2 linked regions of the Anolis sagrei genome follow. The protein of the gene in region 1 interacts with the protein of each later gene in a pairwise test. Links are inferred from orthologs where the notes say so. Each region holds a gene or a part of one and is shown on either strand. Other genes may lie near its edges.

The links.
Region 2: the proteins of TBC1D22B (region 1) and DEUP1 interact in binary tests that used the Homo sapiens proteins (3 or more experiments, as listed by UniProt). The link is inferred for Anolis sagrei from reciprocal best matches to the Homo sapiens genes TBC1D22B and DEUP1.

The regions. Positions count from the first base shown.
Region 1 is NC_090024.1:186,726,620-186,734,792, reverse strand, and holds the start of TBC1D22B (TBC1 domain family member 22B), read left to right. Parts: upstream 1-5,098; 5' UTR 5,099-5,126; coding exon 5,127-5,182; intron 5,183-8,173. UniProt on the Homo sapiens protein: May act as a GTPase-activating protein for Rab family protein(s).
Region 2 is NC_090023.1:19,126,988-19,135,132, reverse strand, and holds the start of DEUP1 (deuterosome assembly protein 1), read right to left. Parts: upstream 3,007-8,145; 5' UTR 2,909-3,006; intron 1-2,908. UniProt on the Homo sapiens protein: Key structural component of the deuterosome, a structure that promotes de novo centriole amplification in multiciliated cells.

The sequences.
Region 1 (8,173 bases):
AGAAGCATGAACAAAATATACAGATATTTATGGTTACTGTCCATATTCATTTCCCATCGATTCAGTGTATGATTTTGCTTTTCCCCTCTTCATGCCGAATTTCCAAACATCTTTTCAGTCTAAACAGGCTCTCAGATTAAACATAAGCAAAGCATTAAACATAAGTAAGTATTTCGTCTTAGTAAGTGGTGTTACTCGACCAACATGCCATGGGATCTTTGAGAAAGTCTGATTAGGTGAAATTCAAAGATCTGTCTTTGATCAGCTGTTCTCGTAATAAACTCTAACAAGCTCTTCAACTGCTGCAACATATAAATTTTCAGGCAATATTGTGAGTGTATGTTAATTTTGGATTATATATGTTAAGTAAAAATAACTTTCAGAAGGAAATTGGTATTCCTAGCTCACTCTTCACTGAAAAAAAGAATGACTTACAGAGAGCAGTAATATAACATAAGTCTACTGTACTGTAAGAATAACCACGAAGGGTTTTGTGCTAGGTTGCTGTGAGTTATCTGGGATGTAAGGCCATGTTCCAGAAGCATTTTCTCCTGACGTTTCAGCCACATCTATGTCAGGCATCCTCAGAGGTTGTGAGATTAGTTGGAAACAAGCCACTTGGAGTTTATACATCTATGGAATGTCCAGGGTGGGAGAAAGAACTCTTGTCTGCTGGAAGCAAGTATGAATACTGCAACTGATCACCTTGATTAGCATTGAATAGCCTTTCAGCTTCAAGGCTTGGCTGTTTCCGCTCTGGGAGAATCTTTTGTTGGGAGGTGATTAGCTGGCCCTGATTGTTTCCTGTCTGGAATTCCCCTGGTTTGGAGTGTTGTTTTTTATTTACTGTCCTGATTTTGGAGCTTTTAAATACTGGTAGCCAGATTTTGTTCATTTTCATGGTTTCCTCCTTTCTGTTGAAATTGTCCACATGCTTGTGGATTTAAATGGCTTCTCTGTGTAGTCTGACATGGTGGTTGTTAAGAGGAGTCCAGCATAATATGCTTTTCCAGGTTGGTTCATCAGGTGCTCTGCTAAAATGAACTACAACAGGGAAAAATGTGTAGTATGACACAGGCAATAAAAATGAAATGCATCGATATAGCATGGATGATAGTGGGCTTGGATAACAGTCCATGTGAAAGGGATCAAGGTGTAGAATTGATGTAATCCTCATTTTAAAAGAATTATTCCCCTATCCCTGAACAAGAAGTTCAGCCAGGGAAAGGCTCTTGGTCTTAAGAGGGAGGGGATACCTCACCGTACATGGCAGGGCGATGTGCCCTCTTGCACATACCGCAAGATGCCATGGAGTTAACCTACTTTAAGAGAAAAACCTCACTCAAAAGAGGATTATCAGATGTGAGTAACTAAAAATCATGCCAGTAATCTTCATACTGGGATGGGATGGGGGCCTTTTAATTCTTTATTGCAGCAGTTAGGTAGTCTCTCTCTCTCTCCTTTTGGCTGTGTAACTGATTGAGCATTGTCACAACACAACAATACTGTGGAAACTCAAAAAGCCAAAAGTACATTTCACAGGGCAGGGAGAAACTCAGTCCCACATCTCCTATTCCTTAGAAGAATTTTTCAAAACACATTTGACAGGAATGCCGTCTTTCTTATTGTCATTCTGGCAAACCTATGGATGGGATAATTCTGCAGCAGAGGCGTTTGAAAGATTTCTCAAGATGAGGCATTTGCTTACTATTTACAGAGCATTCTTATAGATGTCTACCCAGATGGTGGGGTATTTTCTCAGGCAAGCCTGTCTAGGTGTGCAGCCTTAACCAGGTAACTCTGGGTTGGGAATGGGTAAACTTGGGCCCTCCAGGTGTTTTAGACTTCAACTTCCACAATTTATACAATGTCATGCTCTTTCCTTTCTCCCCTCAGCCGCTTAGGCAAAAAAGGAAGGGGCCTGAGGCTGGGTTGCTGTGAGTTTTCGAGGCTGTATGGCCATGTTCCAGAAGCATTTTCTCCTGATGTTTCACCCACATCTATGGCAGGCATCCTCAGCGGTTGAGGGGTCTGTTGGAAACTAGGCAAGTGAGGTTTATTTATCTGTGGAATGTCCAGGGTGGGAGAAAGAACTCTTGTCTGCTTGAGGCAAGTGTGAATGTTACAATTGGCCACCTTGATTAACAATTAATGGCCTTACAGCTTCAAAGCTTGGTTGCTTGCTGTCTGGGGAAATACTTTGTTTGGATGTGTTAGCTGGCCCTGATTGATTCTCGTCCAGAATTCCCCTGCTTTTTAGTGTAGTTCTTTATTTACTGTCCTGATTTTAGATTTTTTTAAAAAACCGGTAGCCAGATTTTGTTCATTTCCATGGTTTCCTCCTCTCCTCCTGTTGAAATTGTCCACATGCTTGTGGATTTCAATGGTTTCTCTGTGTAGTCTGACATGGTAGTTGTTAAAGTGGTCCAGCCTTTCTGTGTTCTTAAATAATATGCCATGCCCAGGTTGGTTAACCAGCACCCATAGGGATTGGTAGGTGCCAAATAAGTGTAGTTTCTGGTTGCTTGAGAGTTGCTATTCAAAACAAGCCTAATACTATATGCCGTACTATCTCATAAAACACTGTACTAACCTGACATTAGTATTCAAATATAGTAATTAAAAGCAAAATCAGAGAAATGTAACCTAGTTTCACTGTGTTATAAACACGTATTTTCAATTTAATGATTTATTCTATTTTAATGCTGGTTACTTGAGTGTTCTGGTTAACTGAGTCTATAGCAGACCTGGGTAAACTTAGGTCCTCCAGATGTTTTGGACTCCAGCTACCACCATTCCTAACAGCCTTAGGCCCTTTCCTTTCCCCCTCAGCTGTTTAAGCAGACATGAAAGATAGGAAGGGGCCCAAAGCTGTCCAAAAGCCTGGTCCCAGAACCACAACTTCAATTTCTTCCTAAAAGACAGGAGGGATGAAGCCGATCTTACCTCTTTGGGAAGCGAGTTCCACAGGCAGGGGGCTACAGCCAAGAAGGCCCTGTCTCTCGTCCCCGCCAGACGTATTTGCGACGCTGGTGGGAGCGAGAGCAGGGTCTCCCCGGATGATCTTAAACTGCAAGGCGGGATGTAGCGGGAGATGTGTTCAGATGAGTAAACTGGGCTAGAACCATATAGAGCTTTATAAGTCAAAACCAGCACTATGAATTGACTGGGTTGTTGTAGGTTTTTCCGGGCTATATGGCCATGTTCTAGAGGCATTTTATCCTGACGTTTTGCCTGCATCTATGGCAAGCATCCTCAGAGGTAGTGAGGTCTGTTGGAAGTAGGAAAATGGGTTTATATATCTGTGGAATGACCAGGGTGGGACAAAGGACTTTTGTCTGCTGGAGCTAGGTGTGAATGTTTCACACTATCAATTGAGTTTGGAAGTGGATCGGCAGCCAGGGGAGCTGACACAACAAGGGGGTGGTGTGCTCCCTGTATGTCACTGATTGTGTAAAAGGGCAGATGGTAATTTTGTCAGTGCTGATTGTGTTTAAGTGCAGGCCAAGGTCTTTAGGCACTGCACCCAGTGTGCCCATCACCACTGGGACCACCTTGACTGGTTTGTGCATTATTATTATTATTATCTTTCCCAAAGGCTCCTCCCGAGATCTCCTTCAGCTCTGTCTGAATCCTGTATTGGTTGGAAACAGCAGCCCCATCTTGTGCTACTTCTCAAACCACAGAGGCTGGATCCACACTGGGAGATGGAATGCACTTTGACACCCCTTTAACATGCCCAGTGTGGAACACATTTCACCACGCTAAAACAGTAGATGTGGCTCTTAATGAGACATGCCGCATTATCATGGGGTGCCTGCGCCCTACACCACTGGAGAAATTACACTGTCTAGCCGGTATTGCATCACCTGACCTCCGCTGGGAAGTAGCAGCCAATAGTGAAAGGACCAAGGCAGAGACATCTCCAGCTCATCCCTTGTTTGGATATCAGCCAGTACATCAACTTAAATCAAGAAATAGTTTTCTAAGATCTACAGAGACACTTGCTGGAACACCTCAGCAAGCGAGAGTCCAAAAGTGGCAGGCTCAAACCCAGAACCTCAACCAATGGCTGATACCAAATGAGAGACTCCCCCCTGGGCACACAGAGGACTGGGCGACTTGGAAGGCGCTGAACAGACTGCGCTCTGGCACCACAAGATGCAGAGCCAACCTTCAGAAATGGGGCTACAAAGTGGAATCCTTGACATGTGAGTGCAGAGTGGAGCAAACCACTGACCACCTGCTGCAATGCAACCTGAGCCCTGCCACATGCACAATGGAGGACCTTCTTATAATAACACCAGAGGCACTCCAAGTGGCCAGATACTGGTCAAAGGACATTTAATCAACTACCAAACTCGCAAACTTTGTGTTTTGTTTGTCTGTTTGTTAAAAAATGCAATGCAACTGTTTGGTCTGCTCCTTACACGATTAATAAACAAAAACCCCTTTAACTGCAATGGTTCCTGGCTGTGGAGTCCTGGGAGCTGTAGTTTGGAGAGGCACCAGGACCATTTGGGAAAGAAATTTAAAGACTTCCTAAAACTAAAGCCACAGCCTGGAGTGCTGGCAGCTAAAGTGGTGCCAGACTGCATTCCTTTTACAGTGTAGTGTTAGAGGCAGGCAAAGAGGTGGATGCCAGATCTGCCCTGAGTTTGCAAGCGCCTGGCCCGTGGCTTGGAAGGCCTGACTCGGGCCCCGTGCTTCTTTTGGAATCTCCCCCTCGCTGCATTACCTCGCCCTCCTTCCTCTTCACGCTCCTCCCGAAACCCGCGACCAGTTTTGACAGTTAAACCGCCTAACCGAACTCCGCCCCCTTCCCTTCCCTTCGCCCCGCCCCTTGGTTGCTATTGGGCGAACCGACCCGCCTCGCGCGCCCTTTCCGCGGCTTCTGATTGCTCGCTTCTGCCCTTCGCTGCTTCACGCAGTTCCTGGCTCAGGATTGGCTGGCTCGGTGGACGTCCGGCGAGGTAACCAATGGCTGGAGCGCGCTCGCCCGGATCCAAGATGGCGGCGCCGGGGACTGGCGAGGAGGGCCCCGAAGGAAGGAGCTGAAGCGGCCTCGGCCGGAGGCTTTGGGCCCCGGCGCCTGCCTGCCCTCGGAGCTGGCTTCTGCCCCAGCGATGGCTGCGGAAAGCAGCAAGCAGTTCTGGAAGCGGAGCGCCAAGCTACCGGGCAGGTGAGTGAGGCAAGGAGCGCCGGTGTCTCTGAGATCCCGCTGAGGCGATGCCGGTTCAGCCCCTCATGTCATGTGTGGCGCCTTCCGCGGCTCAGGCTCCCGAAGCAGAGAAGCGCCAACCATTAATGGGTCCACGAAGGAAAGGTGTTCCCTCTGCGGTTGAGGAGATCCCTCTCCCTCTCTCTCTCTCTCTCTCCCTCTCTCCGGGAATTCGCAGCCTTGTTGACCCCAACGGTCTTTGGCGGCGCTTGGCAACCACTTTGTTCGGCTTCCACCGCTCGAAGCTTCGAAATAGAGCTCTCCCCAGAAGCCTAGAATCTGTGCAATTTCATACCACGTTAACTGCTATGGCTCAGTGCTGTGAAATTGTAGTTTTACAAGGTCTTCAGCCTTCTTTGCCAGAGAGTGCTGGTGCCTCACCAAACTGCAGCTCTTAGGATTCAATGGCACAGAGCCATGGCAGTCAAAGTGGTGTCAAACTACATTGGATCTGCAAAATAGAGTCCAGCAAGACAGAGCCCTGTGAATAGGCTACGGCAGGAATGGGCAAACTTGGGCCCTCTCTCCAGGTGTTTTGGACTTCAGCTCCCACAATTCCTAACAGACCCAGGCTCCTACCTTCCCCCCCTCTGATGCTTAAGCGGCTTAAAGGGCTTGAATTTGTTAGGAATTGTGGGAGTTGAAGACCAAAATACCTGGAGAGAGGGCCCAAGTTTGCCCATGCCTGGGCTAGGGTCTTTCTCCTCGGATGAGAAGATGCTCCTTTATTTGCATGGGTCAGTCTGTGTTGATCTACCTTTGACATGCCACAGATATATAAACATCACTTGCCTAGTTTCCGGCAGACCCCTCAACTTTTGAGGATGGCTGCCATAGATGTGGGTGGAACGTCAGGAGATAATGCCTTTGGAACATGGTCATACAGCCCAGAAAACTCATAGCAACCCAGCCTCAGGCCCCTTCCTTTTCTGCCTAAGTGGCTGAGGGGGGAAAGGAAAGGGCATGAGGCTGTTAGGATTTGTGGGAGTTGAAGTCCAAATCACCTGGAGACAGGGCCCAACTTTGCGGAGTCTTTCACCTCGGATGAGAAGTTGTTCCTTTATTTTCATGGGTCATTATGCTGATCTGTTCCTGAACACTTCTGTTAAGGTTGCATACCAAATCAAGCTATGAGTTCTATCCTAAAGCACTGCTTCCAAAACTGCGAATGTCTGGCCCGAATGGGGCCCCCTTAGCTCAATGTTGGGGTCCCAAAAGATTTGGCAACAGTAGAAGCTTTCTGAATGTCACCTAGTGGCTCTTTTAGATGTTTACACAAATTGATTGTGTAGTGTTTACTCTGCAGAAAATGCCTCGGCTGTACTTTAAAAAAAGAGAAATCAGCCTGTTTAACAAGCCTTGTGAATGCAGATTGGTCAGTAAATTTTTGATATTATATACCCTGGTGGCACAGCGGGTTAAACTACTGAACTGCTGAACTTGCTAATCAAAAGGTTGGTGGTTCAAATTGGGGAGTGTGGTGAGCAGCCATTGTTAGGCCCAGCTTCTGCCAATCTAGCAGTTCAAAAACATGCAAGTGTGAGTAGATCAATAGGTACAGCTTCTGCAGGAAGGTGACGGTTCTCCATGGAGTTATGCTGGCCACATGATCTTGGAGGTGAATACAGACAATGCTGGCTCTTCGACTTAGAAATGGAGATGAGCATCATCCCCCAGAGTCGGACATGACTGGACTTAATGTCAGGGGAGGCCTATATACATAGGGTCATATAAAAATTACTTGGGCGAAAAGGAGTTCCGAATGGAAACGTTTTATAAGCCTTGTCCTAGGGTACCCTTTTCCTGTCAAAGGTGAAATTGTTTATGAAGAAGTTCAATACATGAGTCAGATATTACTATAAACACACACAAACAAACAAAATGAAGCAGAAGATCTAGGGCAGGAGTCCTCAAACTTTTTAAACAGAGGGCCAGTTCACGGTCACTCAGGCTGTTGAGGGACCAGACTATAGTTTGAAGAAGAAAAAACATGAATTAATTCATGCGCACATATCTTATTTGTCATAAAAAAACAAAAGAACAATACAGTACAAACCTGACACAACCATTTGGCAATGAAGAACAAATTTTAACCAACATAAAACTTACCAGTATTTCAATGGGAAGTATGGGCCTGCTTTTCGCTGATGAGATAGTCAAGTTAATTAGAATTGCTATTGTGCCTTCAAGTAGTTTCAGACCTAGGGCAACCCTAAGTCTTAAGTTTAGGGTGGGGGCTGAATAAATTCCCTTGGAGGGCTGCATCCTGCCTGTGGGCCTTAGTTTGGGGACCTTTGACCCAGGTTGCATCTAATTTGCCAAATGAATACAGTTTGACACTACCTTAACTGCCATGGCTGAATACTTTGGAATCATGGGAATTTTACTATGGTGAGATAACAATACCTTTGGCACGGAGGCGAAAGAATGTTCAAACCTACAACTCCTATGAATCCACACCTTGTAGCCATTGTAGTTGAAGTGATTTCAAACTTCATTAATTCTACAATGTAGATGCACCCTAGTCTTCTACTGTGGGAATCCTTTTATTAGTTTTGATTTCAGATCTTTCCATAGCACCTCCTTCCAAAATAGGTGAGATGACAGTCTGTGGTGCTTGAATTATAGAAAGGCCAGACAGCCTTCTCCTCCACTTCCTTTTTTGATTCCTCATAATTCAAGGGTAGATATGTACAAAATGCAAGGACTTTGGAATCAAATATTGATTTATTTCCTCTTTCATAATGAATTCTTATTGTATTGTTTGGGAACATGGACCCCAGGAAAATTATTGTTGAGAATAAATTTTGGCTATATTTGGGAGGGGTCTTGATTTGTACAAATTTCCGGTTTTGAGGAGAAGTTTCTTATACCAGAGTGTGCAAAAACATTAATTCTACATTAATTATATTACAACAACTTAGCAATGAATATTGAGAGGTAGGTTTTTAG
Region 2 (8,145 bases), on another chromosome or scaffold:
GGAGGATGGACTGGTTGGATCTTCTCGCAGTCCAAGGCACTCTCAGCACTTTCCTCCAACACCACAGCTCAAAAGCATCGATCTTCCTTCGCTCAGCCTTCCCTAAGGTCCAGCTCTCACATCCGTAGGTGACTACAGGGAATACCATGGCTTTGACTAGGCGGATCTTTGTTGCCAGTCTGATGTCTCTACTCTTCACTATTTTATCGAGACTGGACATTGCTCTCCTCCCAAGAAGTAAGCGTCTTCTGATTTCCTGGCTACAGTCTGCATCTGCAGTAATCTTTGTACCTAGAAATACAAAGTCTGTCACGGCCTCCACGGTTTCTCCCTCTATTTTCCAGTTGTCAATCATTCTTGTTGCCATAATCTTGGTTTTTTTGACGTTTAGCTGCAACCCGGCTTTTGCGCTTTCCTCTTTCACCTTGATTAGAAGCTCCTCAGCTCTTCCTCGCTTTCGGCCATCAGAGTGGTGTCATCTGCATATCTGAGGTTGTTAATGTTTCTTCCAGCAATTTTCACCCCAGCTTTGCATTCATCCAGCCCCGCACATCGCATGATGTGTTCTGCATACAAGTTAAAAAGGTTGGGTGAGAGGATGCAGCCTTGCCGTACGCCTTTCCCAATCTTGAACCAGTCTGTTGTTCCGTGGTCAGTTCTGACTGTTGCTACTTGGTCCTTGTACAGATTCCTCAGGAGAGAGACAAGGTGGCTTGGGATGCCCATCCCACTAAGAACTTGCCACAATTTATTATGATCCACACAGTCAAAGGCTTTAGAATAGTCAATGAAGCAGAAGTAGATGTTTTTCTGAAACTCCCTGCCTTTCTCCATTATCCAGCGGATATTGGCAATTTGGTCTCTCGTTCCTCTGCCTTTTCTAAACCCAACTTGAACATCTGGCAACTCTCGCTCCACGTATTGCTGGAGTCTTCCTTGCAGGATCTTGAGCATTACCTTACTGGCATGAGAAATAAGGGCCACTGTACGGAAGTTTGAAATAGTATAATAATAGTATACTAATAATAATAATAATAATAATAGGAAAATGTGAATGTCTCTTGGTACAGTTTGAGGAGCTTTTCCTTCAGCCCTCTCCTTTGTTAACATCACCAAGAGAAAGAAAGTAGGAAAAGAGTGCCTCTGAGCATAAAAAGAAAACTTTTCTTCACTGCTTATAAGAGGTCAATGAGAAAATGAAATAATTTTGTTATGGTGTCAGACCCGAATCAATGAGAAAGGAAGTGGAAAACGCGAATGCCTCTTCACACAGGCTGTGGGACCTTTCCTTCAGTTCCCTACCATAATGGGAGAGGGGAAAATATAAAAATAGGCCTTATCTACACTGCCACATATAATCCGGTTTCATAGGCCCCTTCCACACAGCTGTATAAAATCCCACATTATCTGCACTGAACTGAGTTATATGGCAGTATGGACTCAGATAAGCCAGTTCAAAGCAGATATTGTGGATTATCTACCTTGGTATTCTGGGTTATATGGCTGCGTGGAAGGGCCGTCAGTCGAGATTATTTGCTTTGAACTGGATTACATCGTAATGTAGACTCATATAATCCAAACTGGGTCTGCACTGCTATATAATCCAGTTACTCAATTCCAGATGTCTTGCTTTGAACTGGATTACATGGCAATATAGTGTCATATAACTCAGTTCAAAGCAGATAATGTGGATTCAGAAACTGGATTTGATGGCAGTGTAGATTAAGCGTCAACAAGAAGGGACGAGAGAAGAGTGAGGCCCCTTCTACACTGCCATATAACCCAGATTATAAAAGCAGATAATCCACATTATCTGCTTTGAATAGGATTATATGAGGCCCCTTCTACACTGCAATTACATAATTCATAGAATCTGCTTGGAGTGCCTTGGACTGCGAGAAGATCCAACCAGTCCATCCTCCAGGAAATAAAGCCCGACTGCTCATTGGAGGGAAAGATACTAGAGACAAAGTTGAAGTACTTTGGCCACATCATGAGGAGACAGGAAAGCCTAGAGAAGACAATTATGCTGGGGAAAGTGGAAGGCAAAAGGAAGAGGGGCCGACCAAGGGCAAGATGGATGGATGGTATCCTTGAAGTGACTGGACTGACCTTGAAGGAGCTGGGGGTGGTGACGGCCGACAGGGAGCTCTGGCGTGGGCTGGTCCGTGAGGTCACGAAGAGTCAGAGACGACTGAACAAATGAACAACAGAATCTGCTTTGAACTGGATTATATGGCAGTCTAGAGTCAGATAATCCTGTCCAAATCAGTTGGTGTGGATTATCCGATTTGATAATCTGGGTTATAGGGCAGTGTAGAAGAGACCTGAGTCTACACTGCCATATAATCCAGTTCAAATCAGATAATCCGGATTAGATATGGCAGTGCAGATCCAGCCTCATAAAATCCATGTTATCTGCTTTGAACTGGTTTATGTGGCAGCGTAGGGTCATATAATCCAGTTCAAAATAGACACTGGATTATCTGCTTTGATAATCTGGGGACCCTTCCACACAGCCCTGTATCCCAGGTAGGAAATCCCACATTATCTGAGTGTGGACTTGGGGCCCCTTCTACATTGCCATATAAAATCCAGAAATCTGCATTGAACTGGATTATGTGACAGCATAGTGTCATATAATCCAGTCCAAAGCAGATAATGTGGATTCAGAAACTGGATTTGATGGCAATGTAGATTAATCTGGTTCAAAGCAGATATTGTGGGATTTTCTGCCTGGATATTCTGGGATAGAGGGCTGTGTGGAAGGGCCCTCCCTGGGTTATAGGGCAGTGTAGAGGGGGCTTTCTTTCAGTAGTCTGTTGCAACTGGGAAACAGACAGGCAAAGAGTGCCTCTGAGCATAGGAAGGGATTCTTTGGAGCAGAGAAGGGGGGAAGGTGGGTTACCTGGCTGGGCTTCGAGGAAGGGCCTCTCTTCCCCGCCCTGTGGCCCTTCCGTGGGCTCCCTGCGGCTCTGCTCTTTCCCCACCGTGGGGCAAGGGGCCTCTCCCCTCCCTCCCTGCCTCCCTCCTCCCTCCCTGCTGCCCTTTGCTTGCTTCCCGCCGCCGAGCCCGCCTTTCCCACGGCGGCAATTCGGGGCGGGGCTTACAGGCGTCTCCCGTTGCCACGGCAACGCTGAGGCCTAGCTGGCAAAGCCTAGCAGGCAACTCTCCACTCATTGGCATGGCAGACCACCACTACAGCCCTCCCTCCAGGTGTTTTGGACTTCAACAGCCATTTGGGAATTGTGGGAGTTGAAGTTCAAAGCACCTGGAGGGCCCAAAGGAGTCCATGCCTAACTGTACACACAAGCACTGACTTTTCCCCACCTGCTTTCATAGAATCATAGAATCATAGACTCAAAGACTTGGAAGAGACCTCATGGGCCATCCAGTCCAACCCCCTGCCAAGAAGCAGGAATGTTGCATTCAAATCATCCCTGACAGATGGCCATCCAACCTCTGTTTAAAAGCTTCCAAAGAAGGAGCCTCCACCTCGCTCCGGGGCAGAGAGTTCCACTGCTGAACGGCTCTCACAGTCAGGAAGTTCTTCCTCATGTTCAGATGGAATCTCCTCTCTTGTAGTTTGAAGCCATTGTTCCGCGTCCTAGTCTCCAAGGAAGCAGAAAACAAGCTTGCTCCCTCCTCCCTGTGGCTTCCTTTCACATATTTATACATGGCTATCATATCTCCTCTCAGCCTTCTCTTCTTCAGGCTAAACATGCCCAGCTCCTTAAGGCGTTCCTCATAGGGCTTGTTCTCCAGACCCTTGATCATTTTAGTCGCCCTCCTCTGGACACATTCCAGCTTGTCAACATCTCTCTTCAATTGTGGTGCCCAGAATTGGACACAATATTCCAGGTGTGGTCTAACCAAAGCGGAATAGAGGGGTAGCATTACTTCCCTGGATCTAGACACTATACTCCTATTGATGCAGGCCAAAATCCCATTGGCTTTTTTTGCCGCCACATCACATTGTTGGCTCATGTTTAACTTGTTGTCCATGAGGACTCCAAGATCTTTTTCACACGTACTGCTCTCAAGCCAGGCATTCTCCATTCTGTATCTGTACACACAAGCACTGACATTTCCCCACCTGCTTTCTCGCAAGCCTATTAAGGGCCCTTCCACACAGCCCTATATCCCAGAATATAAAGGCAGAAAGACTGTCGCAACTCAGGGTAGTTTCTTCCTTGCTCAAGACACCACCACACACCAAGGCTGTAGGTTTATTGAGAAAAAGCAAAATCAAAACAGAGAAATAAGGACGCAAAAGTTCAATAGGCAAAACAGAGTCTTAAATGCAAAGGCAAAGTTTCCAAGATTCAAAGGTAAATAACATGAAGCATAATCCCTTAGCAATGGTCAAACAAAAGTCCATGGTACACAAATGAAATCAGGATCAAAATCCAAGTCTCAAAAAAGCCAGAAGCGTTCCGCAAAAGCCAAGGTAATTCCACAGAAGTTAACAGGGAAGGAGCAACATTGGACTGACAGAAAATGCCTGTCGGCTACACCATTAAATAAGTTTTCCTGACATGAAAGCATTGCGTTGACCTTTGGCTGCATACTTGCTGGCAAGATGAGTGCTTCTGCGAACTCTTAATGGTAAACGATCCTGTCTACTCATTAATTCACTATTATCTTCAAGGCTGGGCAACTCCTTATCTTGGCCCAGCTGGGTCTGATCACCCTGGGAACCAAAAGGAGTCAAAGGAGTCTCCACCTGCAGATGTGGAGTTTCACTGTCTTTCTCTAACGGCACATTCCTTTCTCCAGAGAACAGACTTGCTGTTTCTTCTTCAGAAGCCACACTATTAGCCCCGTCTGGAACATGTACAGAAATCTGAAACCCATCAGCCTCCTCGTCATCCTGCAGAAAGTCAGGCTCAGAAGGCCCAGCAGGCCCAGCATAAGGCCCAGACAGTTCAGACTCAGACTGAGCCACAACAAAGACGCAGACTGTGGACAGGAAAACAGAAGACGTTTACTTCTCAGGAGGAGAGCAATGACCAATCTCGATAAAATAGTGAAGAGTAAAGACAACACACTAGCAACGAAGATCTGCATAGTCAAAGCAATGGTATTCTCCATAGTAACCAATGGATATGCAGATGACACCACTTTGATGGCTGAAAGCAAGGAGGAACTGAGGAGCCTTCTAATCAAGGTGAAAGAAGAATGCGCAAAATTTGGGTTGCAGTTAAACATTTAAAAAACCAAGATTATGACAACAAGAATGATTGACAACTGGCAATTAGAGGGATAAAACGTCAAGGCCGTGACAAACTTTGTATTTCTAGGTGCAAAGATTACTGCAAACGGAGACTGCAGCCAGGAAATCAGGAGAAGCTTACTTCTTGGGAGGAGAGCAATGACCAATCTTGATAAAATAGTGAAGAGTAAAGACATCACACTGGCAACAAAGATCTGCATAGTTAAACCAATGGTATTCCCCATAGTCACCTACGGATGTGAGAGCTGGACTATAGGGAAGGCTGAGCAAAGGAAGATAGACGCTTCTGAACTGTGGTGTTGGAGGTAAATTCTGAGAGGATTTATAGTTCACCTACAATCAAAGAGCATTCTGAACAGCACCAACAATAGAACTGGGCCAAACTTGCCACACATAAACCCCATGACCAACAGAAAATACTGTGTTTTCTTATTGTCTTTGATGACCCCTTTGACACCCCCTCGCAACCCCCACAGGGGTCTTGGACCCCAGGTTGAGAAACGCTGCCCTAAATGGTTCCGGCCCAGCTTACCTGTTTGAACGTATCTCCCCCTATGAACCATCTTGGAGACTGAGATCATCTGGAGAGACCCTGCTCTCAGTCCCGCCTCCTTCGTAGGTGCTGTGCTGTTGCGCCTGGGGGCTATAATTCTTAATGAAGGAGGCATGGACGTGGCATCTTTCCCCAGGGGATTGCTTCTTGCCCTCCTATAAGAAACTGGAACTTTCAAAAACCCAAAACGCTGTAAATAACTCAAAATAAGTTTTATTGATCACAGAGTTGTTTCTTTAAAGCAATGAGCTGGAAACTTCAGAGGGTTGAAGGAAAATATATGTTACAATCTCAGTTAGTCTTGGGTCCAAGGTGTTTGAAGCTGAGAAGCCTTTCCAAGTTTCCTCTTTCCTCAATGGCTGTGAATGCCGGAGCAAACCACAACCCCAGTTCAAATGGCCTATGTTTGAAGACTCAGGATCTTCCTTTGGTGCCAAAAGAACCGGTTTGAAGGCGCTTGAGACTTCCAACGTCATTCAGGTTGGTCTGAACATGAATCACAAATCTCAAGGATAAAAAACCTCAGAACTGGTGCTGAGAGGTAATTTAAATCAGGGTCTTTTAGAGACAAGTCTCATACTCACGTCCATCTGGTAGAAACTCTGATGGCAGAATGAAAAGAAAGGAAGCACTCCCCTCCTGCAGGAAGAGGTGGAGCCATACAGTACTGATTGATAGCCATAAGTAACCAATACATGTTGTTGTTCATTTGTTCAGTCGTCTCCGACTTTTCGTGACCTCATGGACCAGGCCACGCCAGAGCTCTCTGTCGGCCGTCACCACCCCAGCTCCTTCAAGGTCAGTCCAGTCACTTCAAGGATGCCATCCATTCATCTTGCCCTTGGTCCATACAACTATACATAAGCAGGGTAAAAGGGGAGGATAAGCATGATACAACAGTTTAAATCTTGCAACTAACAGTTAAAATTAAAATTTAAAGCACATGGTAATAACAAACTTCACATTGGTTCATATGTGAGGTTTTGCTCCTTCATTGACACATCAAGAAATTATTGCGCAGTGAGGAAAACGGCAAACATATTTCGGTGGGCAAAACAGGATGAGATTATTTGACTTTTAGCCCCGTTTTTTTACCCAAAGACCACGCCAGACCTCATTATAACTCCCCCCACCACCCGCCAAGCCAATATCATCTTGGCACAATGCAGAAAAGGTCCTGTTCTCGATAAAAAGTGGAGCTTTGTTGAGGCAAAGCTCTCACCTGCATTCATTATCGAAAGATGTTTCAAGGAAATGCTCCTAAGCCCCTGTGGCTCAGGAATTATTCTGGCCAATGAAACAGAGGGCAGAGATAAGAAAAGTCGAAACCGCACCGCAGAAAGGGCCTACTGGGAATTCTTTTCAGCCGTGTAGATGAAAGCCTGAGAGGGAGAGAAATCTCACTTTTGAAGAAGAAAACATTTGCCTGTGTCATAAAAGCACAAAACTTGGTGGAAAAGCAGGCACAAAATGTTTCCCTTTTTTTTAAAAAAATGATGACCTGAGAATATTCTTTTCCGCTCTCTGTGGGTGGTTAATAGCTATCATCCCTCCTTCAGGATGCAAGGAGCCGGCATTAGGGCTTTACAGCTGAGACCTGCATAAAAATATTCTCTCTTGGGGCTTTCTCCTAGGAATGCGTTTGACTTTTGGGGTCTAGCCAGCTTCTGTAGTGTTTTTCGGGCTTCATGGAGGGGATAAGGTTCGAGTAGAGGAGGGAGAAGGCAGGCTTTCTTCTTGCCACTTCTGCAAATGATTCACTGCTGTGCTAAAGTAACAGGAGATGTGAGATACTCCAAAGCAGGGATGGAGAATCTTTTAAATCTCACAGCATCACTGCATTGGAGAGAGTCCAATCCTATTATCTAGGCTTGGGTGGTTTCATTCGTTAATTTCGTAATTCGGTATTAATTCATAGAATCATAGAATCAAAGAGTTGGAAGAGACCTCATGGGCCATCCAGTCCAACCCCCTGCCAAGAAGCAGGAATATTGCATTCAAATCACCCCTGACAGATGGCCATCCAGCCTCTGCTTAAAAGCATCCAAAGAAGGAGCCTCCACCACACTCCGGGGCAAAGAGTTCCACTGCTGAACGGCTCTCACAGTCAGGAAGTTCTTCCTAATGTTCAGATGGAATCTCCTCTCTTGTAGTTTGAAGCCATTGTTCCGCGTCCTAGTCTCCAAGGAAGCAGAAAACAAGCTTGCTCCCTCCTCCCTGTGGCTTCCTCTCACATATTTATACATGGCTATCATATCTCCTCTCTTTAAATTCGTATTTAAATTAGCTTACGATCCAATATTGAGCCATGCAGGAATAGTGTGAGGAGTAAATTAGATTCAAAACAATTTTTTCA